3 linked regions of the Arabidopsis thaliana genome follow. The protein of the gene in region 1 binds, or shares a complex with, the protein of each later gene. Each region holds a gene or a part of one and is shown in the gene's direction. Other genes may lie near its edges.

The links. The genes of interacting proteins can lie anywhere in the genome.
Region 2: SR45 (region 1) and RS41 share a complex: the UniProt entries of both Arabidopsis thaliana proteins name them as parts of the spliceosome.
Region 3: SR45 (region 1) and SR34a share a complex: the UniProt entries of both Arabidopsis thaliana proteins name them as parts of the spliceosome.

Annotation. Positions count from the first base shown.
Region 1 is NC_003070.9:5,675,186-5,681,212, reverse strand, and holds SR45 (arginine/serine-rich 45), read left to right. Parts: upstream 1-2,360; 5' UTR 2,361-2,526; coding exon 2,527-2,726; intron 2,727-2,848; coding exon 2,849-2,920; intron 2,921-3,003; coding exon 3,004-3,086; intron 3,087-3,274; coding exon 3,275-3,321; intron 3,322-3,407; coding exon 3,408-3,488; intron 3,489-3,578; coding exon 3,579-3,747; intron 3,748-3,836; coding exon 3,837-4,059; intron 4,060-4,130; coding exon 4,131-4,196; intron 4,197-4,335; coding exon 4,336-4,485; intron 4,486-4,717; coding exon 4,718-4,784; intron 4,785-4,893; coding exon 4,894-4,931; coding exon of another isoform or gene 4,932-4,935; exon of another isoform or gene 4,936-5,026; coding exon of another isoform or gene 5,027-5,036; exon of another isoform or gene 5,037-5,206; coding exon 5,207-5,288; 3' UTR 5,289-5,365; downstream 5,366-6,027. UniProt on the Arabidopsis thaliana protein: Involved in 5' and 3' splicing site selection of introns, and may bridge the 5' and 3' components of the spliceosome. Isoform 1 is required during flower petal development and isoform 2 is involved in root growth.
Region 2 is NC_003076.8:21,128,282-21,134,152, forward strand, and holds RS41 (RNA-binding (RRM/RBD/RNP motifs) family protein), read left to right. Parts: upstream 1-2,038; 5' UTR 2,039-2,152; intron 2,153-2,763; coding exon of another isoform or gene 2,764-2,799; coding exon 2,800-2,905; coding exon of another isoform or gene 2,906-2,993; exon of another isoform or gene 2,994-3,056; coding exon of another isoform or gene 3,057-3,168; exon of another isoform or gene 3,169-3,212; coding exon of another isoform or gene 3,213-3,419; exon of another isoform or gene 3,420-3,509; coding exon of another isoform or gene 3,510-3,534; exon of another isoform or gene 3,535-3,599; coding exon of another isoform or gene 3,600-3,606; exon of another isoform or gene 3,607-3,805; coding exon 3,806-3,918; intron 3,919-3,998; coding exon 3,999-4,237; intron 4,238-4,328; coding exon 4,329-4,910; intron 4,911-5,003; coding exon 5,004-5,037; 3' UTR 5,038-5,270; downstream 5,271-5,871. Other genes in the region: AT5G52030 (TraB family protein), read left to right, coding at 10-431, 528-646, 735-823, 900-974, 1,067-1,174, 1,269-1,370, 1,460-1,753; AT5G52045 (uncharacterized protein), read right to left, coding at 2,764-2,993, 3,057-3,168, 3,213-3,419. UniProt on the Arabidopsis thaliana protein: Required for constitutive and alternative pre-mRNA splicing. Involved in primary miRNA processing and pri-miRNA biogenesis. Binds both intronless and intron-containing pri-miRNAs.
Region 3 is NC_003074.8:18,329,305-18,335,755, forward strand, and holds SR34a (SER/ARG-rich protein 34A), read left to right. Parts: upstream 1-2,204; 5' UTR 2,205-2,408; exon of another isoform or gene 2,409-3,337; 5' UTR 3,338-3,363; coding exon 3,364-3,450; intron 3,451-3,569; coding exon 3,570-3,635; intron 3,636-3,713; coding exon 3,714-3,788; intron 3,789-3,942; coding exon 3,943-4,084; intron 4,085-4,167; coding exon 4,168-4,214; intron 4,215-4,298; coding exon 4,299-4,356; intron 4,357-4,492; coding exon 4,493-4,542; intron 4,543-4,625; coding exon 4,626-4,682; intron 4,683-4,912; coding exon 4,913-5,064; intron 5,065-5,153; coding exon 5,154-5,234; coding exon of another isoform or gene 5,235-5,313; exon of another isoform or gene 5,314-5,345; coding exon 5,346-5,412; intron 5,413-5,504; coding exon 5,505-5,525; 3' UTR 5,526-5,850; downstream 5,851-6,451. Other genes in the region: AT3G49420 (Got1/Sft2-like vescicle transport protein family), read left to right, coding at 551-581, 814-905, 1,006-1,086, 1,207-1,304, 1,387-1,468, 1,728-1,766; AT3G49440 (F-box associated ubiquitination effector family protein), read right to left, coding at 6,411-6,451. UniProt on the Arabidopsis thaliana protein: Probably involved in intron recognition and spliceosome assembly.

The DNA of each region.
Region 1 (6,027 bases):
GAGCTTAAGAGAACAACCATGTACTTGTTTCTTCCCAGTCTTGAAACGTTCATGCAAGGGTGGTGTTTGTGTCCTCTTGACCTTGGATCTCATCAGTTTCTTCAATAAGAAAAACCGAGCTATTAATCTAAAAGCTGCAGTCCAAAAGCCATATAAGTTTACTATTATAAACGAGTTCAAGATGTGAATATTACCAACTTCTTGAAATCCACGAAACCAGTTTCTAGTACATAGGAGGGCTTGCACATTAGTAGGTAAAAGGCAGCTTCTATATTTGTTAAGCACACGACTACCTATACTAAAAGCTGATTCCGATGCCACGGTAGTGATCGGAATGCTTAAGATATCACATGCCATCGATGACAATTCTTTAAAACGCGAGACATTGTTTTTCCAATATGCAATAACATCCATATCTCTAAAAGAGACCATATCTAACACAGGCTCTTCCAAGTACATATCTAATGGTGATTTTCCAGTTCCATTTCTTTCAGAAAAGTAAGAGTAAAACCCCTGAAATATGACCAACAAAACAAAATTCTCACTAAGTATAAGAATGCATTTTCAGAAGCATTATGCTTTAAAATGCTTTGCATAGTATCATTTGCAGAAGCATTATCTACAGTTAAAGTAAAAACTTTCTTCTCAATTCCCCAATCTTTCAACAGCTCACTAAGCTTCATTGCTATAGCTACTCCAGAATGTGGAGGCGGGAAAGCACAGAAAGATAAGATCTTCGTTTTCAGAACACCATCAACATCTACATAATGAGCTGTTAAGCAAATATAACTTTCAACAGTTAAAGCTCTCCACAAATCTGTTGTTAAGCATATTCTACCCGGGATTATAGCTAACTTTTCCTTAAGCTTAATTTTCTCTCTTTCATAAATCTTGTAGACATCAGAAGCTGCAGTATTTCTGCTCCAAAATTCTATATAAGGGTTAGCATATGTAAAGGCTTCTCTAATTCTTTCATATTCGACAAACGAATATGGAAGATTATGTTGAACTAAAGCCACTGCAATCATTTCTCTAAAGACCATCATATCCACCTTTCTGCTAATTCTAGGTGTACTTCCAGGAGTCTTCTCACAAGATCTCATATGACGATTCATGGTATTAGTACCATTTCGTCTCAGATTCAAGTGATAAGTCTGCTCACAATATTTGCATGTAACCTCAGTTTTCCCATTAGGATATTTCTGTCCTCTATCGAAGTTTTTCCAGCATGCAGCACGAAATCTACTTACACTACTTTTACCTCTCTCAGCTGTCCCTGAAGAAGCAGTTTCATGAGGTAGTATCTGATCCATTTCTGGATCTTCATGGTCCATTTCTTGATCCTCAAGATTAAAGTTGTCTTCATCAACCAAGTTTTGAGTATCCAATTCCATATTTCTGAAACAAATAAAGACATACACACGTTTAGCAGTGATAAACAAATAAAGCATGAACTTGACTAAATCACTAGCCTTCTGGAATAATTAAGCATGAACTTACAACACAAAGGGTCTCTACATATTGATGTGCTTCAATTCATAATGAAATTCGAAATGGCGAAACATAAACAAAATCTGAAAAGTGCCCATTTGCTAGCTAGCTCTCCTCATATCCAAAATTCACAATTGAACTTTGGACAAACCCACAAGCTAGTAGAACTAACCGGAGTAGGAGTTGAGAGAGAGGTCGAGCTTGGTCGTCGCCGAGAGAGAGCTTTGTCGCCGGGAGAGAGAGCGTCGTTGCCGAAAGAGAGAGAAGAGAAAAAAATTTATGTGTTGAAAAAATTGATGGGCCAACCATAAACCGTGTGGGCTAGCCCATTAAACCCATGGACAAAATTGGTCTTTAGACCATATAGCCCGTTTTCATTACGGGCCGACCATGGACTGTCCATAATGTTGTGGACTGGGCTTAGCCCATGGTCAGATGACCATTTGACACTTCTATATAGATGTATGAATAAACCTTAATGGTTTCGGTGTTATTCAATGACTAGATTCAATCTAAGATACTTTGATTTTGAGATTGCTCTTAAGTTTGTACCAAGGCAACAACAATATCAACAAATTATGGGACAACAAGAGAGCTATAGAAAAATGGTATCTAATTGATCCTAATTGGATGGTGTACACGACCACAGACAATCGATTACAACATTTTATAAGTTGTTGAATTTTTTATGGGAGTTACTAGCTTTTCTGTTTGAATTTTCCTGTAGGATTTGAAGAACTTTTGATTAGTGACACATTCAAATCTGATATGAAAAATGGGAAAGGACACAAATTGAGCTCATTATGGTATTTATACTTTATAAAATGCTTTAAAAAACATATAAATCCCTCAATTTATCAAGCAAATAAAAACCTGCCACGTATCATCTTCGGTTTAATTTGCAGTCCGCGGAAAAAAAAAGGAGACTGGAAAAAAAAAGTCACAGTCTGTCTGTCTGTCTCTCTCCTCTAATCTTTTTTATCCGCTAGGGTTTTGAAGCAAGGTTTCTCGCGATTTTCTCGATATCTCTCGCCCATGGCGAAACCAAGTCGTGGCCGTCGTTCCCCCTCCGTGTCTGGCTCGTCATCTCGTTCCAGTTCCAGATCTCGTTCGGGTTCGAGCCCCTCCAGGTCTATTTCCCGCTCACGCTCCCGTTCTAGATCGCTCTCTTCATCTTCATCTCCTTCGCGAAGCGTCAGTTCTGGGAGTCGCAGTCCTCCACGTCGTGGAAAAAGGTTAGGGTTTCTTTCAATCACTTACCAATTGTTCGAATTGGATTTGTGTAATTTCGCTTTCATTCTTCTTGGTTCGTTCAGCTCGAATTCGAATTGATGTTCTGATGTATCTTCTTGTGTAGTCCTGCTGGACCTGCTAGGCGAGGTCGCTCTCCTCCTCCTCCACCATCTAAAGGAGCATCTTCACCTTCCAAGTAATATCTGACTCGTTCACATAAATATATTCTAGTGTTTATGCTTTCGTCATTACTGACTTTACAATCTTTTATGCTTTCAGGAAAGCTGTTCAAGAATCTCTTGTTCTCCATGTTGATTCTCTTAGCAGGAATGTGAATGAAGCCCATCTCAAAGAAATCTTTGGTATGTTGATTTCTCTTTTCTCTGTTTCTTCTGCTTCTTCTAATCTTACTACATGATAACTGTCTACACATGTCCGCTAATGTCATCAGTAGTGTATACGGCATTACGATCATCACTGGTCTTTTGTTTTCCTTGTGTTGGCTAAATGTTAAGTCTTATAACATGGCTTGGTTTCATGTTATTATTAGGCAACTTTGGTGAAGTTATACATGTCGAAATTGCGATGGATCGAGCTGTAAGTTGCTATTCTCTTTACTCTCTGTTGTTTACTTGCATCACTTGTTGAAATCTGCTCATAATTCCTTTGAATATTATTAACAGGTTAATCTTCCAAGAGGACATGGTTATGTTGAGTTCAAGGCAAGAGCTGATGCTGAGAAAGCTCAGCTCTACATGGATGGTGTATGTCTCTTTCCAATTATGAAATGCACTGTACTTGACATATTGACAGAGAAGATTTATGCATGTTTTTTTTTTGTTCACTGAACACAGGCCCAAATTGATGGAAAGGTTGTTAAAGCAACGTTCACACTACCACCTCGTCAGAAAGTATCTTCACCCCCTAAACCTGTCTCAGCTGCACCAAAAAGAGATGCTCCAAAATCTGATAATGCTGCTGCTGACGCTGAGAAAGATGGTGGTCCCAGGCGCCCAAGAGAGAGTATGTCAAATCCTTATATTTTGGTTATTTATAATTGTTGTAGTATATGCTTTATGTTGTGTTAATTAGTATCATCAATATGTGCTTAGCATCTCCTCAACGGAAAACAGGGCTTTCTCCGAGAAGGCGATCACCTCTACCTAGGAGAGGCTTATCACCTAGAAGGCGATCACCTGATTCTCCCCATCGCCGGAGGCCGGGCTCTCCTATCCGCCGTCGCGGTGATACACCTCCTAGACGTAGGCCAGCATCACCATCTAGAGGCCGTTCTCCATCTTCTCCCCCTCCAAGACGATATAGATCTCCTCCAAGGTTAGTTATGGCACCATCTGTTTTGTCTGGTGTGTTTCAGATTCGATAGCTCACCTTTTATCTGTCAGCAGGGGCTCCCCTAGAAGAATTCGTGGCAGTCCTGTTCGAAGAAGGTCTCCTCTTCCTCTAAGACGAAGGTATGTCTATTTGGTACCTGAATTACACCCTTAGTAATCGAAGTTTAGGAATCACAGCTTTATAGACTATATTACTCAGTAAATTAGACCGGGAAAAATGTGTCAGTTTTATATATGTTTTGTATTCGGCGTGTTTCAGGTCTCCACCTCCAAGGAGACTACGCAGTCCTCCCAGAAGATCTCCAATCCGTAGGCGTAGCCGATCCCCAATTCGTAGGCCTGGTCGCTCTCGTTCAAGTTCCATCTCACCCCGCAAGTATGTTGGAACTCATTTAAACTTTTTTCTGGGGTCTCTCTCGTGGGTTTTATTTTGTTACAGATGCATAGCTAAGACTGATTCATAACAAGTTTTTAAGTCTTTCATAATTCATGAGTATACCCCAAGATCCTACATTGTCTTATCCTTTTACCTAGGTTTCTGACATACCAGCTCCTAGAGACGTTGATACCCAATATGACTAAGTTATATAGATCCGTCTGGGGTTTGTTCATGAATTAATTTTGTCTTTAACTGTAAGCAGGGGACGAGGTCCAGCTGGGAGACGTGGGAGGTCATCTTCTTACTCTAGTTCACCAAGTCCCAGAAGGGTAAGGGCTTCTTGCAGATCCCTTTTTAGCTATAAAATTTTTGATGCCTTGCGAGTTATATGTCTTGACTCTTGACTTTCTATCATTTGTGCATTATTAAACCTTACAGATTCCTAGGAAGATTTCAAGGAGCCGCAGTCCTAAGAGGTAAACACTTTCTGTCTTAACACTAATCCTCGTCTTAAACTGGAAACACTTTATAGTCTGTAGAATGCATTAATTGAAGAAGTTCCAATGTTAAGTTATGTATAGTAAAGTTAAGGGTTACCCCAATTCCTGATAAAAGACATAGCATAAACATCTGGGACCTATACTTTCTTGGTGAGTTTGGTGATGAAACAGAGAAAAATAGAATTGTTGTGTAGAAATTTTTTGCGTTGAAGTCTAATAAAAGAAAATGGGTTGTTGTTGGGTATGTTTAGGCCACTGAGAGGAAAAAGAAGCAGCAGTAACAGCAGCAGCAGCAGTTCACCGCCACCACCACCTCCACCTCGTAAAACTTAAAGGTGATAAAAATTAAAAAAAAAAAAAAAAAAACTTGAGTCTTGATGTAGCTCTCTTTCTCCATCTTTATCGTTATCATCTGTCTCAGCCTCTTTTCTTAGAACAGATAAAATGTTTACCAGTGACCAAATGAGAGTTGTGGTTTTTGTAGTGTTTGGATGTTTAATCTTCTTTTGTGGATCTCCTCATTAGATGCAACGATAATGACTTGGTTCTTTTAGCTGGTTGTAATTCCCTAATATATTCAGTCTTGTTGAAGAATGGCTGGCTCCTTCACCCTTTTCTTATTATTTTAGTTAAAAGAGAAAGAAATCCATACAAAGACTGGTGATCCAAATACACAAGAAATTGGTTTTTTGTTTCATTCAGAGAAATAAATAATTATAATTTAAGGGCTCCTAAGATGCACAACAACAATTTTGCATCAAACCATGCATCTTAATGAGAGTGCACAAACTTTTATTTAAAACGAAAAATAGAGTTTTCCTCAACTTCACACAGTACATACCACTCAAAGAAAATAAATATACATACCACTCTGCAAGTGCCCATATGGGGAAGATGTTTCTGTAGGTAACATAGTTTAGAAAACAGTTCTTCATGAACACTCCTGTCATTTCCTGCACAACAGAGCAACAACTCTGTTTTTATAATCTAATAAATACACACACCATTCTCTGATCCTGTATGTATTGAATCTTTGGAAGAGAGTGTTGAGGATAATCTCCGTTTTCTAATT
Region 2 (5,871 bases), on another chromosome or scaffold:
TTCCTTGCGATGAAACTCCTTCCGAATCCATCACTAACCTTGTTCCCTTTCTTCACTCCCTATACTTCAAAGCATATTTTCAGACCCATCAAAGTCTCCGTCTCCGTTCAAACTCCTCCGCCGGATTTCGATTTCCGCAACGACATCGCGTCGGAATCACGCGCCGCAATCGCGAAAACTTACCCGGAGTTGCTTGACCTCGCTGATAACGGGACTCTGATTCTTCTCCAGAAACAGAGTTTCGGTCCTGTTCCAGCTTGGCGCAAAGAGTTCGTTGAGCCGGAAGCGATTTGGCTTGTGGGCACTTCTCATATCTCGCCGGAATCTGCTTCCATCGTTGAACGCGTCGTCCGTACTGTGAAGCCTGATAATGTCGCCGTTGAACTCTGTCGTAGCAGGAAAGTCCAATTCTTTATCCAAACGAAATTCGGGTTTCGTGAAATTTGATGACTTTATTGCCAACTGATGAAATTGAATTAGCCATTGTGTTGTGTAACAAATTGCAGAGCTTGGTGTTGATGTTGCAGAGCTGGGATTATGTACACTTCAAGTGTTGGAGGAGAGGTTGACCAAAACTTAAAATCCGGAGAGTTGTCGTTGACCGGGACTGGCTTTCTCGGTGCTGTTGGCCGGAGTTTAGACTTGGGTATATAAACTAATCAAAGCTTTTTATTTACCATTGCTCGCTTTTGTACTTCAACGTTGATGAATGTGTGTGTTTGGGATGATCATAGGAGGGCAAACTGCGTTGGCATTGCGACTTCTATTGGCGGTTTTCTCTTCTAAGTTATCTTCTGTTGCTGACCGCCCTTTCGGGGATGAGGTACTTTTGAGAAAACCTCAAGAGTTAGTGTTTGTTTTTGGACATTCAGTCTCTTCTTGATTGCTATTTGTTGCAGTTTCGTGCTGCTCGGAAAGCATCTGAGGAAGTTGGTGCGCAGCTGGTTCTTGGAGATCGACCCATCGAAATAACTGTAATGACTATACCAAGTACCAACTGATCGTTTTTGTAGTTACATATGGGTTTAAAACCAATGGAATCTACATTGAACTTATAACATTGTAGCTCCAAAGGGCTTGGAACTCTTTGAAATGGGGAGAGAAGTTTAATCTGGTGATGGCTGTGACTCGGGTAATCACATCGTCATCGGGTATATCCGCAGCGGAGCTTAAGGTTTTGTTTCTCTTTCGCTAACTCGGTTTCGCTTTAATTCAAGAAGATGATAAGATAAGTTGTAACTTTTCGGTTTGTGTTTGCATTGCAACAGGAACAAGAGACCGATGAAAACAGTGGAAGTTTGCAGCTTTACGAACGGCTAAGTTTCTCATACCCGGCACTCCTAATGCCTCTTATACACGAAAGAGATACCGTAAGCATAAAAACCGAAACAAAGCGACACTCAAAAAAACCGTATGCTGATAAGACTTGACCAAATAATGTGTTTTTTTGCCTTGACAGTATCTTGCTTGGTCATTGAAGAGAAGTAAGGCAGTGAATGGGTGTAAAACAGTGGTGGGAGTGATCGGGAAAGGACACATGAATGGTGTCATCTACGCGTTGGTGTCAGACTCTGGGGATCTCCGGTTTAGAGATTTGGTGGGAAGAGGAGATTCATATAATGGTGGTACTGGTACTACATCGAACGGTTGGATTCAAAAGGTTTTAAAGAGCTTCGTAAGAGACACAATTATAGGGTTCTTGCTATGGGAGTTATATGAACAGTATCTGATGATGAATCAAAACCTTTCATGATATAACTAAAAAAACAAGTTGTTGCATATTTAAAAAGGAAACTGGAAAAAGAATCTAAATGAGTACAATATGTATGTATATGATTCTTCTTCCTCTAGATTTTGTTGAGGCAACTACAAAGTCTTATATGAAATTGATGTATATTTTGCAGAAATTTCAATTGTAAACATAAAATGTTTAGGTAAAAAATTATTTGTACTTCTCTAGTTGGTAACGAAATAAAAATAAAATATTTTTTTTTTTAATATATATATATATATATATATAAATATAAATATATGTTTAAGATTCATTATCTGGAGAGAGAGCCTCGAAGAAAGCAAATAAAATCTAGAGAAGCTTGTTTCTAGGGTTTCGACTCTCGACGGCCGGTACGATTTTTCAACTGCTTGTTCTAAGGTATAATCAAAATCGAGTTCTTCAGATATTGAATTCGATTCTCTCTTTGGTCTCTCTCTTCTCTTGTTCTTCAGATTTAAATTCGATAGCTTTTTCATTTTCTTCCGTTGAATTTTTCTTGTTTCATTAGGTCTGTTGAAATTGTAGTTTCTTCTTGCTTTGTTTTCTCATATGGTTGATTTTTTTTTTCCAGATCTGAGGTTTTTTTCATCATAGCTTGAAAAAATCCATACTTTCTGGGCTTCCTTTGTATAAATATGAAAACTTTAATGAAAATCTGTTGTGGTATGTTATGGGTTGTGACTTGTGATGAATTGAATTTTGAATATAGTTGTAAATTTGAAATCTTGAAGTATGAAATTTGCATTGGTTTGTTAATTTGTGATGAATTGGATTTTGATTATTACAGTTATAAAGTTGAAAACTTGGAAGTGTAGATGATTACATTTTTCTGTGGTTTGGTTCCTGTTATGTTCATTGTTCTATGATCTTAATTATATGTTTTGTTATTGCTTCTCTTCTGGAGTGTGTTTATTTGTATATTTTGGTCAAATCTGTGCTCTGTTTAGTATCTCTTGGATATCTTTTGATACTTAGGTTGTTGAGAGGAGCTATAAATCGTTTCTGTTGTCTATTTTGTAGGAATCATGAAGCCTGTCTTTTGCGGAAACTTTGAGTATGATGCTCGTGAGAGTGATCTTGAGCGGCTTTTCAGAAAGTACGGCAAGGTTGAGAGGGTTGATATGAAAGCTGGTAAGTCTTGGTTCTTGTTTTTCTTTATACTTTCTCTTAGTTTTTCTGTTTGGTTGAATTGAAATGGATAAAGAAGTCTCGTAAACCACTACCAATCCGATGAACAACAAGCGAAATTCAGTCAAATGCATTGTTCTTAAAATCCACTTACGTGCGTTCATTCCATGAGACTCTCTGGAGGACTGTCCTTTCAAAGTGTGCTCTCTAGCCTCTGCATCCCACATTCCGTATTCCCTCGGTTCGCTACCATCTGATTCCAACATCTGCCAAGGAACTTGAAGCACCCCGCATGAAGTTCATAGCATACCTCAGAAGAGAAAAGATCGAGTAATTTTAGGGTAAAACCGCCATACTCAACATTTGATTTTGGCGCAGGATTTGTTTCGATCTTGGGATGCCCATTCTCCCACACAGCCCATTGATGGACAATATGGAAAATCCATTTCCTGCCCAAAAGAGTCAACCTCATCCACGCAATGGCACTACGTTCCCATAACCCCGACTTTAGTTGCATTTCATTCCTCTTGACTTTTCTCCTCTTCGAGATGCACATGCCTCTTTGGTAGACTTATACCAACCTCTCACAGCAGAGGCAGCAAATCAAATGGAGTTTGCGCCACCACGTTTCTGTTCACAATTCCGTCTCATCTCCTCCTCATTTTCAGTTCTTCTTCTTTGACATATTAATTCCATAATGCAAGGTCTGTAAAACTACTTATAGTTTGTAGAGATTTTAGGTTCAAAACTTATTTGTCACAGTAAGTAGTAAAGGCTGTTTTGATACTGCCGTGGAAGGGAGAGTCTTCATATTAGAATTCCTCTTGGAGGAGGTTCTTTTTCTTGGTTTACTTGATAAGATTGTTCTCATGTTCTGACTTTCCCTTTTGGTTCTCTCCCCAGGGTTTGCTTTTGTCTATATGGAAGATGAAAGGGATGCTGAAGATGCAATTCGAGCGCTTGATCGCTTTGAATATGGTCGCACAGGACGCAGACTCCGTGTTGAGTGGACAAAGGTAGAATCTTGAATATCATTTTAAAAGTTATTATCAGGACGGATTTAGTGATGGAATGCAAATTCTAATACTGGGTATAGAATGACCGTGGAGGTGCTGGAAGATCAGGTGGTTCGAGGAGATCATCTTCTGGCTTGAGACCTTCCAAGACTCTGTTTGTGATCAACTTCGATGCACAAAACACTAGGACTCGGGACTTGGAGAGGCACTTTGAGCCGTATGGTAAAATTGTTAATGTTAGAATCAGAAGGAATTTTGCATTCATCCAATATGAGGCACAAGAAGATGCTACCAGAGCACTGGATGCTACAAATTCCAGGTTTCTTTCTGTCCATCTTTACACTCTCATTTGTCCCAAATGTTTTCCTTCAGCTCCCATTGACCTTTTTTTGTTGTTGTTGTTGTTACAGTAAGCTGATGGATAAGGTGATCTCAGTGGAGTATGCAGTGAAAGATGATGATTCAAGAGGAAATGGATACAGTCCTGAAAGACGGCGTGATAGGTCACCTGATAGGAGAAGGCGATCACCAAGTCCTTACAGAAGAGAAAGGGGAAGTCCTGACTATGGCCGAGGTGCTAGTCCAGTAGCTCACAAAAGGGAAAGGACTAGTCCTGATTATGGTCGTGGAAGACGCAGCCCCAGCCCTTACAAGAGAGCCAGGCTTAGCCCAGATTACAAGAGGGATGACCGTAGGAGGGAGAGAGTGGCTAGCCCAGAGAATGGAGCTGTAAGGAACCGAAGCCCAAGAAAAGGACGTGGTGAAAGCAGGAGTCCTCCTCCATATGAGAAGAGGAGGGAAAGCAGGAGTCCTCCGCCATATGAGAAGAGAAGGGAAAGCAGGAGTCCTCCTCCATATGAGAAGAGGAGGGAGAGGTCAAGGTCAAGGTCGAAGTCAAGCCCTGAGAATGGTCAAGTTGAGAGCCCTGGGCAAATAATGGAAGTAGAAGCTGGAAGAGGATACGATGGAGCAGACAGCCCGATACGCGAGAGGTACCACATCCCAAGCTATCTTTAGATCACATTTGAATGGTATCAATATCATCATCTTACTTCCAGTTTTTTTTTGTGGTTTTGAAACTGAAGCAGCCCCTCTCGTTCGCCGCCAGCAGAGGAATGATTGGAGATGCAGACAGATGATTGTGTTGGATTCACAAACAAAAGATGTCTCTCAAAGTAGTTGTATCCGAAACTGAAGTCTTTTGCTATGTCATGTAGTATTTAGTGTGTTATTTTGGGTCTTTGTTAAGTGTTTTGTAAACTTTATTATGACTCCATTCGAAATCGCTTGTCGTAGTATTGGTTAAAAGATTGCTTTTTAGTTTGGATTACAATATCCGACTTTAGATGTTTACGAGCGCAGCTTATGTTTTAACATGAAAATAGTGCTAAAGATGGTCGACAAGATCAGAAGTTTTATGTTAGCCATGAAATCCTTTATAATGTAGGTCTGAATTGTGTCAACTTGTCAACCCTAAATTTTCCATTTCAATTACATTCGCCTTTTTGCGCTTCCACTTTTTTTCAACTTCGTAATATTGTATAGAACTTTTTTGTCTATAAAATTCTTTTGCAAAGTGTAAAATACTAAACACAAAAGTAGCACTTTTCTTTTGTTTGCATTTGGGTTTTCATTTTTCTGTTTTTTTTTTTCTGTTAATGGTTCCGAATAGTAACACTCATAATGGTGGAATAACATTTTCTAATGAGATTATGCAAGAATCTTACTAACCAAAAAAAATTGCATAATATTTACTAAAATGTAAAAACGTATGATTTGCGTTTTCGCCTAAAAAATTCATATAAAAATTCATTATGCAAATAAATAAGTATATAGTTGTTTATTTCATTATGAGATTTTTCATTCTGCAAGTATTTTCATTATGCGATTTATGTCATTAGATATTTATGCAGTGTCACCATTCAGAGATGTTGTGGAGCCGTAATGTTTTGT
Region 3 (6,451 bases), on another chromosome or scaffold:
ATTGCTTAAAGAGGGACCGAAAAATAAAAACACTAAAGAACTGAATGAATCAACTTAAGGGTAGTTCCGGTAATTCACTAAAGGATAAAGTAGAAACCCTAGTTTGAATTTTCACGGCCGACCTCTCTCTCATCCTCCGAGTATTGTTGGCTTCAGACCAAATCTTCTCCGGCGCTGCGGCGTTTCCCCCGGTACGGAGTCATTCACCTCTCTCTTTTCTCTCTCGCGCTCCCTCTCTCTCTCTCTCTCTATCTCTGGCTCTTTTTGATTGTACAAGTATTGTTAGGATTATACGTTTGATTCTGTATGTAGCATCTGTCTAGTCGACGTCAAATCGATATTATGTTTCCAAATATTGATTGGTTACCAAAACTGATACGAGAATATTGAATCTCTATGGGCTATGTATGTATATCAGAGTCATGGCTAAGCCATGGGCACATTTTGTAAACACTAATGTTGTAGTTTCAACTTTCAATGGTCTAATTGCTGAACTTCGACATGTTTTTACCATGGCAGCAAAAGGTAGAAGTAGCTGATTACAGGAACAATGATGTCCTTTGAAATGAATGACCGGAAAAGTAAGTTCACATTGTGAGTTCTATAAATATTTTCTGCTATTGGAAGACATACCTGTTACTTAGTTATACTTAATTCTTCTTTTGCTTATCACGTTCTTGAGTTAGTAGATCATTCAATGTCATGTTGTTGTTCGGAACCCCATTTAGTTTCAGTATATCTTATTACCAGGTTACGAAGTTACTCATGCTGTACTTGGATATACTTAAACGTTTCTTATGTGATTTGAAACAGAAATCGGGTTAGGCCTGACAGGATTTGGCGTATTCTTCTCGTTTTTGGGAATAGTCTTCGTCTTTGATAAGGGATTACTTGCCATGGGAAATGTAAGTATCTCATGTATCTTTGTTTCTATACTTTGACCACTATTATTGCATACACGTACAGAACTAGTATGAGAGCTTGTTTCTTTTCATATTTTCTCAGATTCTTTTCATCTCGGGGGTTAGTCTAACCATTGGCTTCAAGTCTACCATGCAGTTCTTCATGAAGCGTCAAAATTATAAGGTTTGTTTCTGTCTTTGTCTACATTATCAATAGCTTGGGCCAGTCTCTGCTGGATTTTTACAGATTTCTACTTAATGTCATCTATGTGTGTTCATTTGGCTTTATATGTTATCCACTCAGGGAACCATCTCTTTTGGCGTCGGTTTCTTCTTTGTTATCATCGGGTGGCCTATCTTGGGAATGATGTTGGAGACCTATGGCTTTTTCGTACTCTTCAGGTACTTTTGCCTATTTTCTTCTTCTTTACTGGTATTGCTTGAGGAAATGTAAACTGATACTAAAAACGTTTTGCTTTTGCAGTGGCTTCTGGCCTACCTTGGCAGTCTTTGCTCAGAAGATACCCGTTCTGGGTTGGATTATTCAGCAACCATATATTAGATCGGTATGTGTCCAATTGCAAACAACTATAGCAAACTTTGCATGAAATTCTTAGATCTCGAATACAACACATACAAAACTCATAATGACTCCCAGTTTTGCCTTTCCAAATTACAGTTGATAATTCTCTCTTTGTTTCTGATGATCTTGAGTTGCTAGGCCTTTTCTCAGTTTGGCTTAACTTTAATAGTAATTCTGTTGCATAGTCTGCCAATTGTTGGCTAATGCGATTACTTTACACTTTTTTTTTATGTGATGTGTAGTTCTTTGACAAGTACCGGGGCAAGCGAGTGCCGGTCTAGTCTTCCATCCCGAGCAGAGAGACGATTCACTGAGCTAGATGCAGCTGAACAGGCGATTAAAGTTTTTGGAAGAAGAAGTTTCGTGATCCTGTAGAAAACTAAAACCATAGGAGAAAGAAAATAGGAAGGAAAAGAACGTACAATTTGAAGCTGTGTGTCTATGTTTCAGGTGAAGTAGATGAATCTTCGTCCAGGTTGCAAATTGCAACAGAATGTTAAAAATGTAATGTTTTATTTTTGGGTTAGTTATAGGTTACACCTCAATTTTGGAAACTAATTAAAGAGAAACAATTGTTTCTATTCACAAAAACTTTTTGTAACCATTACGCATTACATAATTTTAATCATATTGTTATTAACTTAATGGTTCTATTTGACCAAAAACAAAAACTTAGAGGTTATTTGACAAACAGATTACTTAAAGAGGGACCGAAAAATAAAAACACAAAAGAACTGAGTGAATCAACTAAAGGGTAATTCCGGTATTTCAGGAAAGTTTTAAGGACGACCCCTACTAATGGATAAAGTAGAAACCCTAGTTTGAATTTTCACGGCCGACCTCTCTCTCTCATCTACTAAGCTCTCCTCCGAGTATTGTTGGCTTCAGACCAAATCTTCTCCGGCGCTGTAGCGTTTCCCCCGGTACGGATTCATTCACCTCTCTCTCTCTATCGCTCTCCCTCTCTCTATCTCTATCTATCTGTTGTTTTCTCTGAATTTGGTTTCCGTGTTCTTATGAATTCGATGGTTTGGTGTTTCAATTTCGTTAATTTCACTGATAATTGTTGGTCTTTTGGCTCTCTTGAGGTGAATATACTTCGCTATGGTCGTGGGGGTAGTTTCCTTGACTTCAATTAGCTTTTTTATGTCGAATGTTCTTGAGTTGTTTAAGGTGATTTTTGATTAAATTCAGAAGGTCTTATGTTTGTTAGAATCTGTCTTTTATTCATTGTCCTTACTGAGGAAATTTTTTTACTTGCATTGAAAAGAAACATAATTTACCAAGAGGTTCTATGTAACGATGATTTGTGGGTCGATCTGTATTTTAAATAGTCGTTAAAAGTAGAATTTTTGTTGTATGTTTGAAAGGAATAATGGTTTGAGTAAGGAAGAAGAACAAGGTAGATGCATGAGTCTATGTTACATGATGTCATGACACATGCTTTCTTTATGATAGATGGCAAGAGCTTGGAACATGAGCATTGCAATGGTTCATAGGGATATAGAGAGGGATTGGGGAGATCAATGTGGATATTGTTTTTATTATTAATGGAGATTCATGGGAACGATCTGGAGAAATATATATATTTCAATATTTTAAATAGCTTTTGGAGCATATTGGAGCAAATAAGCATTTGGAGCTTGTGGAGCACTGCTCTGACCCAGGATTGCTCTCACTTGGTTTGCTTCATATATATTTTGGTCTTACCATGTTTTCTTTTTCTTTTCTTATCATCGTCTCATTTTGATGCTGGGGCTATGTCGAAAGCTGTTTGAGTGGAGGTTCTTTGTCTATAGCAGTAAATTTTGATCCTTTATTTATTTCGTTTCCTTTTTATTCTCATGTGCAGTTTCCCCTTTTTAACCTTTGCAAACAATGAGTGGGCGATTTTCTCGGTCAATCTATGTTGGTAACTTGCCCGGTGACATTAGGGAACATGAGATTGAAGATATCTTTTACAAGGTCAGTTTTTGGTTATTTGTTTGATTCAGTTACGGGTCCTCTCTTGAATCGTTATCCCTATAAGACAGTGAAGATTCTTGAGCATCTTTTGTATTCATATTTAATGCTCTTGTTTGCAGTATGGCCGCATTGTCGATATTGAATTGAAGGTTCCACCTCGGCCTCCATGTTATTGCTTTGTTGAGGTAAGTGTATTCGCTTACATTACATGTTCCTAACCAACTTTAAATTTCGCTGAACCAAGCTCTGTTGAATGTTTGTAGTTTGAGCATTCTCGGGATGCTGAAGATGCCATCAAGGGCCGTGATGGCTATAATTTGGATGGCTGTCGCTTGAGGGTAATCAGTTACTTCCTTGCTATTTTTTCAGCAGACAATATGGGCTTATGCTTCACATATCCTTACAGCAGAGTCTAAACTTTTCTGGCTGTTTTACATTACCTTGTGATGTTTCTTTTTATTTTTCAATAGTTTCTAATCATTATGAATGCAGGTTGAGCTTGCACATGGTGGTCGAGGACAGTCTTCAAGTGATCGTCGTGGTGGCTACGGTGGTGGTGGCAGCGGCTATGGTGGTGGAGGTGGTGGTGGTGGATCAGCTCGGTTTGGCGTCTCACGACACTCTGAATTCCGAGGTTTGTGTTTCTTGCTAGAAGTTGGTATTATTAAAATTTGGTTTCACTTCACTTCTTCTGATTCTTGGATGGCTATTTTGCAGTTATTGTACGTGGGCTCCCATCATCTGCTTCATGGCAAGATTTGAAGGTCTGATGACACTTAATGTTTTGCTGCAACATTTTGGTTTCTACTCCCTAGTCTTGTTTTTCATATAAAATCCATTTTTTTCAGGATCATATGCGGAAAGCTGGTGATGTGTGCTTTGCTGAGGTGACTCGAGACAGTGATGGTACGTTAATTTACAGTTTCTGATGCATACTTACTTAGCAATATATTTACTTTTTCAGCTTTGAGCAGAGTTTTGTTTGGGATATTATACTTACGTTTTTCTCCCACAACATGACTATTTATAATAATATGATCAGGAACTTATGGTGTTGTCGACTACACCAATTATGATGACATGAAGTATGCAGTAAGTGAACTCTGTGCGTCTCTCTTACTGTATTGCATGCTATGGTTTGTATAATTACTGATGTTCAATAGTTGTGATTTCAGATAAGGAAACTTGATGACACAGAGTTCAGAAACCCCTGGGCTAGAGGTTTTATCCGGGTACCATTTCTCTATGCAGTCTCTTCTTTTTTCCCTCTTTGACCATAATTAACAGATATTAGTTATCTCTCAAGTCTCTCAACATTTTACTTCGTTTGATGCTTCATTCTCTATCTTCCCATTCGTAAAACATCTATGACTTTTGTAGTCTCAATTGGTTAGGCTAATTTAAAATCATGATCTCACAAGTTTGTATTCATCTTATGTCTGTGTTTTCTGCTCATATGCAGGTTAAGAAATATGAAAGCTCCCGATCAAGAAGCAGAAGCCCAAGCAGAAGCAGAAGCAGAAGCAGAAGTCGAAGTCGTAGCCGAGGCCGTGGTCGCAGCCATAGCCGCAGTCGCAGCCTTAGCAGGAGCAAGAGCCCAAGGAAGGATCTGAGGTACTACGTTTGTTATCACTGAACCTTTGTATATCTCCCATTTTCAATACCTAAAAATGGAGTTGTGTGTTTACCAATCTTTATTGCAGTAAATCACCAAGGCGATCCCTTTCCAGATCGATTTCAAAATCTAGATCGCCATCGCCCGACAAGAAGAAGAGTCCCCCCAGGCAAGTCTTCTGCCCTTCTTTTGTGTTCTTTCTCTCAACCATCATGATACTTTTATTCGTTCTTTTATTTCTCCTGTGATTATTGTGACATGTTGCTTTTTACCAATTCAGGGCAATGTCGAGATCAAAGTCCAGGTCCAGGTCCAGATCGAGGTCTCCGTCCAAATCTCCTCCCAAGGTATAGAACTAAGCTGCCTGCGTTTTAGCATCATTTTACCAAGTTATAGGCAAAACACCAAACAGACCAATCTAAAAAAATCTTTTTCTCAGGTTCGCGAAGGCAGTGTGTGATTTTGTTAAGCGGTGAAAATGGCCAAAAGAAAGAGTGCGAAAAATTCTCAAGTCAAGATCCATTCTCTGTGTTTTTTTTTTTGCTGTTTTCGGATAATTGACATTTTCTGCTGTTCTCTGCTTCTTTACTCACAAATGATCATCTTTATACTATTATGACCTGTTATGTTATGGATGTTTCCGTGACCATCACAATACCTCTGAGTTTTGTATTGTTAGTCCTGTTCTTGTTTAAACCCTATGAAGTCTTAGCGAACCTGGATCTCTCATCTAAATTATCAAATATTTAACTGATTTGTATGAAATGGGCATAATATTAAAGAAATCAAATTAAAGTTAAGATATTTGACATGGTTTATAGACGGTCAAATGAGTTGTTTACCTAACAAGGTTCTTCCACAAAGTCGACAAAATTTATATATTTGACATGATCTGTTTGTCGGCATCTTTTAGTATTCCATCACAAACAAAAGTTGAGAATTAGGATGAAGTGCGCATTTCCTTGCATAAGTAGGGATACAACTTCAACATCTTAGGTATAATGTTAAAACATTTTTGTACAAACTTTTAGCTAATATGTATCTTTACAAGAAATATCAGAAGAGAAAATATATCTATCTTAATACGTATTTTTGGATAAATAGTGGCCATATATATAAGGTCCCCAACTTAGAAACGAAACAAGATGTTATAAATTCTTATGTAGCCCGGACCGGCTAAGAGAAAAGTGGGATCATGTACCCATTTAAAAAAAAAGTTTATCTCTTATACTATATGTATAGATTTGGGCCTTTTGTATAATTTTTGAAAAATAGGGCTATAATTGCTTAAAGAAATCTGACTAAAAAATAGGACCCTATTCAAAAGCACCCTTTGCACACCCTCTCAGCCGGCCTTGGTAGCCATAATCGCTTCCATAAGCCTCA